Arabidopsis thaliana: one gene and its partners. The protein of the gene in region 2 interacts with the protein of the main gene of each other region in a pairwise test. Each region holds a gene or a part of one and is shown on either strand. Other genes may lie near its edges.

Evidence for each region. Proteins that work in one complex are often made in the same cells at the same time.
Region 1: the proteins of AT4G25680 (region 2) and AT3G20680 interact in a two-hybrid assay, tested with the Arabidopsis thaliana proteins (one large-scale study listed by BioGRID).
Region 3: the proteins of AT4G25680 (region 2) and PRA1.B4 interact in a two-hybrid assay, tested with the Arabidopsis thaliana proteins (one large-scale study listed by BioGRID).

Annotation. Positions count from the first base shown.
Region 1 is NC_003074.8:7,228,758-7,233,196, forward strand, and holds AT3G20680 (plant/protein (DUF1995)), read right to left. Parts: upstream 2,438-4,439; 5' UTR 2,407-2,437; coding exon 1,390-2,406; 3' UTR 1,311-1,389; downstream 1-1,310. Other genes in the region: HTA13 (histone H2A 13), read left to right, coding at 715-903, 997-1,206; AT3G20690 (F-box and associated interaction domains-containing protein), read right to left, coding at 2,813-3,925.
Region 2 is NC_003075.7:13,086,069-13,091,532, reverse strand, and holds AT4G25680 (PPPDE putative thiol peptidase family protein), read right to left. Parts: upstream 3,561-5,464; 5' UTR 3,109-3,560; coding exon 2,974-3,108; intron 2,376-2,973; coding exon 2,114-2,375; intron 2,025-2,113; coding exon 1,957-2,024; intron 1,875-1,956; coding exon 1,581-1,874; 3' UTR 1,372-1,580; downstream 1-1,371. Other genes in the region: AT4G25690 (stress response NST1-like protein), read left to right, coding at 537-1,112.
Region 3 is NC_003071.7:16,068,076-16,072,652, forward strand, and holds PRA1.B4 (prenylated RAB acceptor 1.B4), read right to left. Parts: upstream 2,590-4,577; 5' UTR 2,428-2,589; coding exon 1,765-2,427; 3' UTR 1,311-1,764; downstream 1-1,310. Other genes in the region: DREB19 (Integrase-type DNA-binding superfamily protein), read right to left, coding at 1-106; AT2G38350 (uncharacterized protein), read left to right, coding at 266-316, 994-1,233; AT2G38365 (endonuclease/glycosyl hydrolase), read left to right, coding at 2,855-3,175; AT2G38370 (weak chloroplast movement under blue light protein (DUF827)), read right to left, coding at 4,109-4,577. UniProt on the Arabidopsis thaliana protein: May be involved in both secretory and endocytic intracellular trafficking in the endosomal/prevacuolar compartments.

The DNA of each region.
Region 1 (4,439 bases), on a different chromosome or scaffold from region 2:
TCATGTTATTAACGTTTATGAGTTGTCACTTTGAAAATTAGTAAGACACATCATGTATTATTTCTCAAATTAGTATTGTACATTTCATTTCAAAGTCAAAAACACATGATTCTATATATGGTTGATTACCTAATGTGTAATCGTGAATTAGTAATTAATACGACATGCTAAAAATTGATTAATCATGTTTAGAAAAATATATACTATGATAAACCTGAAATTGTGTCACACAATTTTGATGAATGTATATACCACATTTCCATATTATACGTTTTAAAAGTAAGATTTTCATAAATTTTAAAATTATTCATAACATTCACTAAAATTAGATGTGTATAATTAACAAACTAAAAATATCATTAATCTACTATTTTAGTAGTTATTTTGCGAAAATATGTTTGAGTTACAAAATATTTTCACTATTTAAATCATGTCGATTATACCCACTGAAGGGTATTTCCGTCAATCCCAATTCTAACAATGAATTCAGGAGTATAAAAACGTAAATTCAAGCGTGCCAATTATAAACCGTCGATCATAATCTAATCCAACGGCAGTAACATCGATCCGCGTGATTGTTTATTATTGGATAAGAATCACTCAACCGTCTCTACACAGTATATATAATAACCAAAGAGCGTCCTCTTACGCTTATCTTAATTTCCCTCGCATTGAGAATTTTCAACTTTTTCTATCTCTCTTCCCAAATCACAAATGGCGGGTCGCGGCAAAACTCTCGGATCTGGCGTTGCTAAGAAATCAACATCGAGAAGCAGCAAAGCCGGTCTCCAATTCCCCGTTGGTCGTATCGCTCGTTTTCTAAAGAACGGCAAGTACGCAACACGTGTTGGTGCCGGAGCTCCGGTTTACTTAGCCGCCGTTCTCGAATACCTCGCCGCTGAGGTAATTATCCCCTTCTCTCCCTATATCTCTTTACTCTTTCGATCTTCAATTTCGTAAAACCCTAATTTCTAAATTGGATCTGTTGTGTTGTAGGTATTGGAATTGGCTGGAAACGCAGCTAGGGATAACAAGAAGACTAGGATTGTGCCACGTCACATTCAGCTCGCGGTGAGAAACGATGAGGAGCTGAGTAAACTGCTTGGAGATGTGACGATTGCTAATGGAGGTGTGATGCCTAACATTCACAGTCTTCTTCTTCCCAAGAAAGCTGGTGCTTCAAAACCTTCCGCTGATGAAGATTAGATTAGGGATTTGTGTTGTGGTTGTTTAGCTAATTAATGTGTAGCTTAGTCTTTCATTAGATTAGATCTGAATTAGTTTTCATTAATGGTGTTGTGTAGTCTCTCTTTTGCTTCAAAAACAAGTATTAAAATCTTATTATTTTGAATTGAATCCACAATCAATACACATTGAAGTCCTAACAAACTACTTCTTCCCAGTGATATTTGAAACCAAATCACTAAGAAACTTAGCTGATTTGGTAATAGGAGAATTCATAGCCATCAAGTTATACAGAACAAGCTCAACTTCTTCGATTGATGGTCGAGAATTGAATTGTGAAACAACTTTCAAAGTACCATTACCTTCTTCTTCTTCAACGAGAACATTCCATCTTTCTCCACTCACAACACCGTCTCTTACACACTTAAAGATCACTCCTTTTCTCTTACTAAACACTCCTCTCACTTCTAAGCCAGTGAACGCATAAATCACTTCAAAGGAACCAATAAAGCCATCTCCAAAGCTTTTCTCTTCTTCAAACAACCATCTCGGATTGATCATTACTACAGGTTTTGTAGAAAAAGCTTCACTCGCGGTCTTAACATCCTCCAGCTGCGATTTCTCCGGAGCCATGAAGATCGCCACGTCAGCAGATCTCAGAGCTGTTTTAAGAGAGTCTGAGACCGGAGACATGGCAATGTGGTGGATAGAGTCTGACCGGAAAGCTTTAACGGCGGGATCGATGAATGAAGGGTTAGGCCAGAGGAAGAGAAGCTTGACATTAGAGCCTCTTCTCGAGATGGGTAAGTCATGAAAGATCGAGAAAGCGAGCTGAGAGAGTGACGAAGGAGAATCATCGTCAAGGATTGGGATTTCAAGACGGAATCTTGGTTGTTTGAGCTTCCTGAGTTTTGGGGAAGCGAGTTTTGGGTTGTTTAAGGGTTTGATGAGACATGAAAGGAGACAAGTTTTGGCTTGATTAATGGCTTCTTCTTTGGAAAGGGGAGGAGAAGAAGAAGAAGGTGAAGGAAGAGAGGAACAGAGAGGAGCGAATAAACGAGTAGTGGTTGATTTGTGGTTGAGCTTTGAATGCTGTTGTGAGAGTGATTTGGAGAAATGAAGATGGAAAATTCTGGAATTGGGAGGAGATAACGAAGGAGGAGATGGGTTTAGAGCTTTGAATGTCTGTGAATTGAGTTTGAAGAGAGTCGAAGAAGCCATGGCTGATCTCTGATGATGAGGAAGAGAAGAGAAAGAGGATAAGGTTGTTCAAAACTTCAAATAAGAAATGAGACAAAACCGATCGAGTTACATAAACGAAAATTTGATTTCGGTTTGGGTCGGTTTATATAACCAAACCGAAAATAAAGTAAACAAAACAAAGGAATTGCTTAAACAAAAGTACCTTGCTCGTCACTTGTTGTCTCTCTGTTTTGTAATTTGATAACTTATAAATCTTCATTATATAATTGCATAAAGAGATGAGAAACAAATTAATATTAAAATAAGATGAAAGCAAGAAGACTAATTCATAGGTCTGGTTAACTTGATTTGAATAAAACTTGGAGCATAAGAACACATAGGACCTGGTGTGCATAGAGAGTCACCGAGACCCACTGTTTTGAGACTACTTCACAGAACTTGGTACATAAGAGCACACAAGACGGCAAAGTGGTTGATATAGAGGTTCACGGAGATCCGCTCTTCTGAAATAACCATTCTCTCCAACGATGTAAGCTATGTGGACAGTGGATTTGAGCCCCTCTGTCTCCTCTTTATTAAAAAACACTACGACTTTCTCTTCATCATAAATCAAGTATCCCTCAGTCAGAAAAAATCTTGGTGTGTTATCAACTTTTAAGAACTTGCTCCACGAGACTTCATCGGGCTCAATCTTGTTCGTAACCCAAATATCGATCTCAGATTTGCCACCCCGCCACCGCTTTACTAACACCGCAAGCTTCTCTTCTCTTACCACATATAGACTCCCCAAAAATTCATCGATGAAGGGTTGAGGTAGAGGCAGACGCGGTCCGAATCTCTCTCTAGTAAAATCAAAGCATATTAAATAACAATCTTCTGATCTTCTATCTTTAGCATACCAGTAAGTATTTCCCTTCAAAGACACGCCATCTTGCATAAACGCTATATCCCATTTAAGAGGGAAACTAGAAACCATCCGTGAATTAGACCTCAAATTGTAGATTTCAAGTCTATTAGGGTAACTATCGAAAACCCTTAAGATTTTGTGGCAACCACAAGATTTGTCGTATCCGAAAGCAAGTTTGTCAAAACTTGCAAAATTATTTATGCGTTTGACCCATTCACGTTTCCCCCAATACGGGTTACAAACCACAAGCCTAATACTATCATCAGTGATGCTTCCGTATAACAACAATAAACCGTTGCAGTGAAAGACATTGAATATTTCCTTGAATATTAGATCTAAATTTTCTAGGTGAAGAATACCTTTATTCTTTATAGATAGATCAATAATGTTGTTGTTGTTCTGAATACCATGGAGATTGACGCCAATTGAATAAACCTTACAATCTTTAATCATTATCAAATCTCTTTTCCCTGATGCGGTTACATTGCCGATGTGCTTATTTGCAAAGCTCCGATGTTTGGATAGAACGTTCCAGGTTTTGCAAGTAGATCGCATTGCTTTTAAAGATATCAACGGAAGCCTAGAGAGAATCTCCTCCACCAAATCATGTGGAAGATCGGACATCATCATCGTCGCTGTTTCAAATTTCGAACAAGGATTGATCTATTTGGCGCAGATGTTAGGTCAACTTTCATAAACTCTTTTCTTTCAGACTATCGATAGATTGTTATTGAAGACACATAAACCCTAGTATTTAATTGTCTGAAATACACAAAACTCTCAAACATCCTTGTTTATTGGGCCACTCTTATTTTTAGCCCATTGGACGTATTATCCTTCCGCTCACGTGGCACAAAAACGATTGAGTTATAAACAAAATTTTTGGTATCGGTTTGGGTCGGTTTACCCTAAACCCTGCTGTTAAATTCAAAGATTAAAAGTTTTTAAAGACCAATCCTTCTTAGTTCTTACCTTCGTTTGGTTTTGTCAAATTAGTTGATGTTATGTGAGTGAAGCAATGATGAGGAGCTGATTTGTTATCGTTTTGGTAATGATGTCACTTGTGTATAGCTGCAAAGTTAAGATCCATTGCGTTGCGTGTTCGCTTCTCTGTTTCACACTCTTGCTTATAGTTTGATCACAC
Region 2 (5,464 bases):
TTGCTTCTAGTTTGCATCCATTGAAATGATCAGGCATTAGCTTGTTTGTTGTATCTTCTATCTTGTGTTATTGTTGACTGTTGAAATCGTTAGTTGATTTATGTTTGACCACTTTCTTTGGACTTGGTGTCTTTTTATGTTCCTTGAATAAAGTGGAATGTTTTGCAACTACAATTGTTAGCTTCTACAAGTTTGAATGCTATTGTTTTGACTGTTGCTTTAAGATTGATGTTATGCACAAGGCTTATCTGTTTCTCCTTTGCAACTACTATAAGCTAATCAAGTAATCGTCAATGCAGAAAATGGGAGAGTCTACGGGGTGTGGGAAAGGAGGACTAATGATTCCAAATCATAAGTCTGCTAATTCTTATAACCTCTCCCTTGAGTTGTCTCTTGTTGACTCTGTTTGGGATTGTAATGTTCGGACCATGAGGTATTCCTATATACCTGAGTGGTTGTAGTCTTTGAAATCCTCTTAGACAACGAGTTTAGTGCATTTTACTTTAGTTGGAATCAAAGAGTTATAGCAAGCAATAATGGATCACACGTTGTGCAAGCAAGTTGTTCAGCCAGTTACTAGGAAAGTGAAGAAGCATGGTAAAGATGAATTTGATCGTATCAAACAAGCTGAGAAGAAAAAGAGACGTTTGGAGAAAGCTCTTGCTACTTCTGCAGCCATTCGGGCTGAGCTTGAAAAGAAGAAGCAGAAGAGATTGGAAGAACAACAAAGGTTAGATGAAGAAGGAGCTGCAATTGCAGAAGCTGTCGCTCTGCACGTCCTACTGGGCGAAGATTCTGATGATTCATCTCGAGTCAAGTTTGGCGAAGAAACGGGTTTCGGAATGGATCTGTTTAGAGATGAAAGAACCAACTATGTTCCTCGCCAAAGTTGTGCTAGCTATGCGGTTCAAGGGATTGGGTTTGTGTCAAATGGTTATGGACTAGGAGATAGTAACTGGTCAGTGTCATATAAGCCATTCATGAAGGATGTCTGGGATAACAACATGGTAATATCTGCAGATTTGATTGCTGCTCAGGCTGTTTCGTCACTACAGATATCTGAGGACGCTGATAGGAACGCTTATGTCTTCGAGACGATGTTCGGGGGATGACAAAAGCCATCGTGCCAAACTTGGCTGCAGAAACAAGTGTTTGCTATGAGTAGAGTTGCAGTTTTTTTCTTTATTCTAGAACCCCTTTTGGTGTGAAAATTCCTCCTCGTTGTTTATCTTTTGATGTTAGACTAGCTGAAAAGATGTTTTCTGAATTCTCTTTGTAACATTCACAAATACGTTCTAAGTTTTATACAGATTACAGAGTACCTCTTGAATCACGTGATTATCCAAATTCAGTCACAATTTCTAGTGTATTGAGACTAATAAACCTTTTGATGTTAAGATTTGACAGTAACAAGCGAGAATGATCTTAACAAAAGCACACGTGAGCTAAAAACTCAAGAAAAAATGACAGGTTCCAACGTTGATACAGAGTAATGGGTACAGACGAGGAGAATAGTGCGTGACTCTTAGACCGGTGGATATACAGCTAACCGAATGCATTGTGGTGGATCGGTACGGTTGCTACTGAAACAGTAGAACATCAGAGTCACGGCTTTGTTTCTTCTGATTGGTGACTGCATGATTTGCATCTTCATCTTTGTTCCCTATCTCTGTACTAGTGGAGGGTTTGGCTGTGTTAAGTAAGCCTTTGAGCCAACTACCTTGCAATCTCAAGTTCCCGCTGTCTGAATTGTTGAGAGTTCCCGGTCGTTGTGGAGAGCCATTGGAGCCATTGGTTACGTTCGAAGTAACATTCGAGAGGAAGCGATAAGCCACTTTACTAGCTGACACAAGTTCAGTTTTGGCTTGCTTCATCTGCAAAATCCCAATTTACAAGTTTTGAACACCCATAATGTTGCATTTACGTTGTAGAGAAGCTAAACAAAAGGGAACCCACCCGCATTGCTGTGTTTCCTGCCACTTCCAAGGCTGTGTCCCCAGCATTAGCAAAGCGATTAACCCAACCTGTTAAGAGACAGAACCCAAGCCGTCACATAAGCCTTGAAGACAAAACACACACACACACACACCAGATTCCCAAAAAATGGCTTTACCTGGGATCTTTGGCACACCAAGCCGGTCACAGAGTACATCGCAGAAGTGATTGCAATTTTTTGACAACAAATCATAAGTGTGTCCAGGCCATTCCCTGCTGAGTTCACGCAACATCTGATTCACCATGAAGATTGTGCAATCTGTTTTGCCAAGGACGATTTTCTCACGGTATGTGTACATTGGATTCTTTCCACTCGGGCAGCTGAATACACCAGTTCCTAGTTCACAATACCCGTAAGACCATTCATCGTTTCCATATACCTGCACAAAGGTCATAAAATATTCTATTCAATCACTCTTCCCTGCGAATCAATAGTCATCTACAAGACACAAAAAAATAACAAAACCATGAACAAGAATAATCAAATGATATTGCATAGATATACAGACCTAAGAACATAGAATGATTAGCACTAACTTGAAAACCTAAATTCTGGTAGTTTTGTTGGAATACACCAAATTGTCACGACTCAAATGGGAAAGTGGTATATGCAATTATATTTGCCCAGGTCAAAGATCACAGAAGTAAACGTAAGCCATCATTGGATTTAACAAGTCTCCAGAGAGCACTTGGTCAATATATCGCAATCATTATCATATGGAAAGTTACCAAAAGTACTAGGAAACACAAGATCCTGAGCAAAAGAGAGACTTCAGCTCCAGACCTTTAGGACCATAAACCATTAAACTAAAGCCTCACATATCAAAAGAAAAGTATCATGCCGTCAACTTCTTAATTTCCACATACATACACAGAAACAAAAACCAAATCTACATAAAGTAGACCAAAACCAAGCTTAGACATCATCGATAATTGTACATAAATGTAGATTCATAGAATATAGACGAAGAGTAGTACCTGAATAGCGCTGTGGAATATACCGCCAAGACCGATCCCGTCTTTGAAGAACCTATTGATCTGAACAATGGTGTTGTTAGTCTTCTCCGATCCACTGTTCGTCACATCGTATATATGCAGAACAACCTCCGTCATTGATTCTATATTTACCAAGCAACACGAACCCTAATTTCCTACCAAAAAGAGCTCGCAGATTCTCTCTATATAGAGCTTTTGGTGAAGAAGGAAACCTAAAGACTCGTACCAAATCCACTTCTCCGTTTAACGAATCCAACAACTACTAGATCTCCCCGAAAAGAAATCTAAAGGCACAAGATTAGACTTATCTTTCTTCTTCCGATTTCTCAATTTCAGACGTAGGAGATGAAGAAGAAACTGGTGCGGCGGTGGTGGTGGTGGTGGGGATCCACTGAAATGACAATTTTACCCTCGCTTTTCCTGCGGAATTGCTACTTTACGTGTCCCTTGTTAATTCCTTTTGTTTACAACTTAAGCACGCGTTTAGATTATGAATTTATGGTAACAAATTATATTAGTATGAACGTTGTTCGCAGTTGATTAAACGGGTCAACTACTGAACCTTTTTTCTTTCATTTAACTAACATTTCTTTAGCTAGACAAGTGTCCTTACCAAAACAAATCAAAAATACTAGTAAAGCATCTCTATAACAAAATAATGACTTAAGTAATCTGACACAACCAAGGAAGATGATTCATGACTATTAAAAAATGGGGTAAACAAAAAAAAAAGAGGGTAATCAATTGACCGATTCTTCCGATAATTTTCGAAAATGCAAAACGGACACAAGTCTGGTTTTCGTTAGCCATCTGATTCGTCTCGAATTAGTCCATCCATTCATACACCAAATTTATAATTTTGCTTCTATGTAAAAAAGTCAATCATAAAAACTTAATGACTTCTTTTTTATGGTACATACATATTGGGCCAATTGGGCCTAGGCCCAGTACAACAGATGGGATTCAGGAAATAAATTAGGACCAAAGAAATTCGACCAAGTTTTTTGTTATATCAAAAGTGTATTCAAAGTCTCATTTTGGTGGATGAATCTTGAATGGGATGCTCAAAGCACAAACAAAGCTTAGTCAAGTTGATAAACTTTGAATGCAAATTAAGCTCTTATATTTTATTGTAATGTAAGGTAACATGACACTTGTACATATTCGTGAAAGGCTCAAATTTTCTTTCTTACATGATAAATATTGCAAAGTTGGAACCGGAAGTCGACAAAAAAAAAAGTTGGAACCGGAAACATCTCAAAACAGTTATCGGGGGATCTAACGGCTGCTAATAGCCCTCATTAGGACCCACAAAATACTGGGAGTAGACGAAGTCGCACCGGCCAAGTCTCCAAAGTCCCAATTGAAAACTTACACTTGAAAAAAAAGTCAGACATCATTCGACACGTGTCCCCATTTCATTAGAAGTCGCGCTGCGTTTCTTTCTCTGTACTAGTTATAATTCCTTCTATTATCCTCTCTCTCTCGTCTTCTTCGTCTGCTCTTCTTTTTTATCTCTCGAAATTCCTCTCTCTTTCTCTCTGCATCAAAACAGCAACTTTACTTCTGCGTTTTTGTTTATCTCTCTGTATTATCCGATTAATTTAAAGGAGTTCTTTGAAGGCAGCTGCTTCTATGCCATATTGCCGAGGTTTGGATCTAAATTTCATCATCATCTTTGTTTCTCCGTTTATCTTCAATTTCCCTTTATCTTTTCAATATAATTGACTTATTTCGTTAAAAGTCTTTTTGATTAGCTTCCTCGGATCTTATGCTTATTCATGGATCTTAGACCTACATAATGGATTAAATCCGATTGTTTCTCTTATTGTTCTTGTTGAATTGAGGTTAATTTTGATCTGAAAATTAGTTTCTGCGGCAGATCTGGTGTCTGTATTTGTGTAATTTGTATCCATTAGTCTTAATTGAGTTATTAGCTGAGGATTAAGAGAGATCCTGAAATTTGCCGTGGAATTAACTCTTTCTGTGGATGGATGGATACCCTTTGTATTCTTCAACTTTGCTCCTACTCTGGGAAATTAGGGTTTGAGTAATCATTAGGTTTTACTCTTTGGCTGTTGTTGACTATCTTCAATCTAATTGGTGGCTGATTTTGTTTGACTTCTTTAGGACTTTTGGTGTCTTTCGAGGTCATTAGAACAATTGTGTCTGCTTGGTTGGTGGTCTATCTACAACTGTTAGCTTTTACAAGTTTGAATGCTATTGTTTTGGCTTTCAGATTTTGATGTTATGGATTTCTGTGTTACTACTCCTCTGCAACTTGAAACTAATCAAGTAATTGTCAATGCAGAAAATGGGCGAGTCTAAGGGGTGCGGGAATGTTGGACGAATGATTTCGAAGAATAAGTCTGCGAATTCTTATAACCTCTCTCTTCAGTTGTCTCCTGTTGTTTCTTTCTGGGATTGTATTGTCCGCACCATGAGGTATTCCTATATACCAGAGTGGGTGTAG
Region 3 (4,577 bases), on a different chromosome or scaffold from region 2:
ATCTCTGTAACGTCGCTTCCACTGGCTCAACCACTCTTCTTCGTCTTCTCGAGGATACAACAGAAGCAGAGGAGCTCTGTTTCGATCCGTTATCTTCCTTTTCCATTGGAAAAACACAACACGTACAAACTGTAGAAAATATTACGGAGCGCAGTACAATCACTATTAAATTTCGAACATAAAACCAAACAATAAACTATAAATTTTTGTCTGCATAGATTGTCCTAGAATTCACCAGAGCCTTCAGAAATTAAGGTGGGAACACATGTCTAGATACCGTCTAAGAGAACACGCGTGGTGCTTACGACAATTAAATGTACGGCTACAAGACACGTGGTGACTTCCCAGTTTAGGCAGATTCTGGTATGCTAGGATTTGTTTTTCAATATGTTTTGGTCATTATAGATTTCTTTGCGGCTAAGACTTTGAAAATTATCGTAAATATCGTGAAGAAATAGATATTGTAAGTCTTGGGCACCAATCCACCTTAAATTGAAATTTTACTTTTTCAGTGTTTTTTTGGCTTACGGTGCAAGCCAGCAATTTGACATCTTCCACTTATTACTTTTCTGACAAACGTGTTTCTTTTTTTCTTTGTTTCAAACTATACTATAAAAATAAATTATTATTCCATGGTTACTTTTTTGAAGACGTTTAGTCCGAGACTTTTGGTACTCTCATTGGACTCTTCCCAGCTCAAATTGCGCGCCAACTAACAAACTGTAGCTTTTGCCTTCGCAAAGAACAATTTCTAAGTCACTGGCATTGACAAATCCCAAGTTCAAGGAGATTCTAGTTTCCGAGGTCAATACAACTTAGGATATTGCTTTGCTTTTGGTTATAGAGATATTTGCGACTAAGACTTTGTACTTTTTTGTAATTTACTAATTTTCGTTGATGGAAGATGTCAAATTGGTGACTTATACCGTAAGCTAAAACCCTTAAAAAGATAAGAATGTAAGGTGGATTGTCACCCAATACTATTAATTTTAGGTAAGTAACAAATCATTTTTAAAACGAAGCTTCCTTGTTGGCTTAGGGTATACGCCACCAATTCGATATTTCATAGACATTGGGCCTTTGCCGAACTGGACTCGAAAAGAAGTAAATGAGCTTATACTGGGCCGGACTCGAGTACGAAGCCCAATACTAAAGCTGCTCATCGAATTATTTGTGCATCGCATTTGCTCCGACCCACGATTTCAAGTCAAGTCAAGTAGCGTAAATGCGTAATGTGGATATTGTTCTGCTGCTCATCCTCAATAGGAAGTAATTTCCTTTCGTTAAATCCTACGACTCTGATCCAGGTCTGTCTTATGATGGGTGCTTTTGAAAACTGGTGAAATTTGGATGGATCTTGCATGCACATGCATCCAAATTTGACTCTTTTGATTGTATACACGCAGTGCAATGTAGTCACATAACAAATCAAAAGATGGCTACAAGTTCTAATAAACAGATCCATTGCATTTTGAATTTGATCATGAAATAAATCCATATCTTCCAAAACAACACTTGTAAATTAAAAAAGGCTAAAGATTAACACAAAACGGTAGTAAAACTTCATCAAATCAAAATCATGCAAAGATATATATTTCATCTATAGCTATTGCCCATGAACAAGAACCAAAATTAGGCCAGATCCACAACATTTTCACGTTTATTGTTTTCAGATTAAAAAAACAAAATCTAAGTATCAAATTCAACAAATGAATCATATAGAAAGATTTACCCAGGCGAGGGAATGGTAGATCGGAATCGCATTTACACGCGAGCGGCGATAACAGCAGGCGCGGCTGAAGAGGCGGCACCACCGAGGAAAGAGAGGAATCCGGTAGCAGCAGGCTCTTGCTCATCAAGGAAAAGATCTTCCGGAGCTCTAAAAGCACCATGAGCACAGATCAACGCAACACCAATCATCATAGCCGAAACCAGAACAGATCCAACATCGGTGAGGAAGATCACAAAGATACTGAACAAAATCAAACACCCTAACGTCTCACGATCGGAGAATGTACGACCGAATAGAACGATCGGCTGATCCGTGGGACGGAACAAGTAGAGGAAGAGCCACGACGCGAGGAGACAGAGGAGGAAGACGAGAGAGAAAGGATGAGTGACGAGAGAGAATCCGACGATCGCTGTAGCGACGGTGAGGTAATTAACCTTGAAATACGAGTAATTCTTGCGGATACGAACAGCAGCGTCGGAGATCGACTCAGGTTTGGATAATGCGGAACGATCCGCGAGCTCAGCCCAAGGACGACGCTTAGAGAGACCGTTTTTAACGGTTTCGGTGATCTGATTGATGAAATTGCGGAAAGCTGGAGTAGCGATCGGTGGTTGAGATTCGACGGAGGAAGGAGCGGCGGATGGAACGGTTTGGGGATTGGAGATTGGGAGGACTGGTGGTGCTGAGGAAGCCATTGGAGATCAAGTTTGGTAGATCTGAGAAAGAGAGAAGAATTAGGGTTGAAGAAATTGAAGAATTGGGCAAGATCTGATTAATAAATTAAAGAGGGAAGGAGAGATAGATTTGTTTTATATACGGGTATGAGAAAATTGTTGACCTTCCTATTTCTTTCGTTGCTACGGGTCACCGACAATAAACGTGACTCTTTTCCTTTTTGGTTTTCCTATTATTATTTGATTTAATTATGATCTATATTAGGTTAAATCTCGTGTTTTAGGGAGATAAATGTTAAAGAGTTTTATATTTATATCTATTTTTTCCAAAATTTTAAAAGTGAATGAAACTATTATATTGAATTTTATTTTTCCGATAACGGTATATTACTATTTAATCAAGATTTATTAAGGTAATGGATACATTCTATGATTTTTGGAGGAGCTTATGTTATGGACAGTTGACCGGACACGTATACCAACTAATCTCATGGTAATCTCAAGCAAAATCACAGATGACTGCTCGTACGTCAAGTGTCTTTCGTTTATGATGAAAAGCAGGACTGGGAATATTCTCTTAGCTCAGCCTGAGAACTTGGCTCATGATGATGATTTATCACAATCGCTTCTTAGTCAAGTAACTGCAGTGTGGCTTTGGACAAGCCTATCATATGGAGGAAAGCCTATCTTCAATCGTGGGATCTCACAACTGGTCACCAAGAAGTGGACAAGTACTTCAGTTCAAGGGGAGACTTCAGTTAACCAATAACAGAAACGATGATGGTTATGAGACAGAGGATTACACAAAGGTGGGTGAGTCATCTTCAACACAGAGAACACCAATAACCATGTCTCGCTCCCGGCTCCACAAGAGATTTCGCCGCGGCTGAGATTGGCGTCTTCTGGGACATGGAGGTTGGTGATTGGGACTTGGGAGTGAACTCTTTTAACTCTTTTATTCAAATCTTTCAGTTTGTTTTCTTTCAATGAAAAGCTGATGGAAAGTCTCAGTAGTTTTGATCAATGCGTTATTGATTAGGCAGTCTTGTTGATTTCTTGAGATGTAAGTCATTTAAATCTCTTGTCTACTACAATGGTTTTGTGGCTTAAAGAGGTGTCAGAGAGTTGGCCAAAACAGAGGCGAATGCAGAGTCAAGTGTTTTGGCAATTTGTCAATGCTATATCATATGTGGCTACTACTGCAGCTATACACATTGCCAACAACAATCCATTGTTTCATTAACGCACCAAAGTCATATTGTGAGAAGAAGAATCCAAGCTACTTTGATCATGGCTCTACACTTACGAAGAGAGAATTAACTAGGAGATGTGTTTACAAAACCATTGTTTCCTAATCATGTTCCAAGTCTCATTGGATATTAGATACTACCTCAGTTTAAAATGATAAGTTTGTTAGTCCCTTGAGTCATATGATGATTTAGTTAGTCTCTTAACTGATTGTTCTATGTATACATATTAACTCTCAGAGTATAAAAGAAGCTTTGTAATAGAATTAAGTTACTGAAAAATTCCATACTTCATCATCTTCTCTGTTTCGTTTCTCTGTCAATGCTAATATGGTCGTATTGGGATTAATTAGCCTAGATTAGCATTATAATAAAGCACTTGATGATACACTTTGTTTTCTTAAACTACTGGTTCACGTACAAAACAGAAAGAAGTCATCAACAGATTCAAAATATCACCTTAAGTTCAAAGCTATCTTTTTCTTCTTCTTCTTGTTCTTGCTCTCTTTGTTCAACAACACAGAGATCTTAGCAAATCCGAAACTCTTTCTCTTTCGAGTCTTCGTCCTTTTCTCATTCTCTTTCCCTTCACTTCTCTTGCTTACAGTTTTATCACTACTGCTATTCTTTGCAAGCATCTGACCCAACGACATTTTTCTTCTCTCATTAGCAACATTCATATCTGAATCCTCTGCAAGAAGTAGCTTCTTGCTCAGTATTTGTCCTATTGACATTGTTGGTTTCAAGACTGGGACCGTTGAAGAAGATGATGACCCGTCAACAACATCGTATGTCAGATGCAGACCGTTTACATCCATCAGACGTGTTGTTGTCTCTCTTCTGCTCTTGAACTTGGAAGTGTTGTTCACCGAAGAAGATAATCTTCTCCTCTGTCCATTCTCTGACCGCCATTTTCGCAGCGCC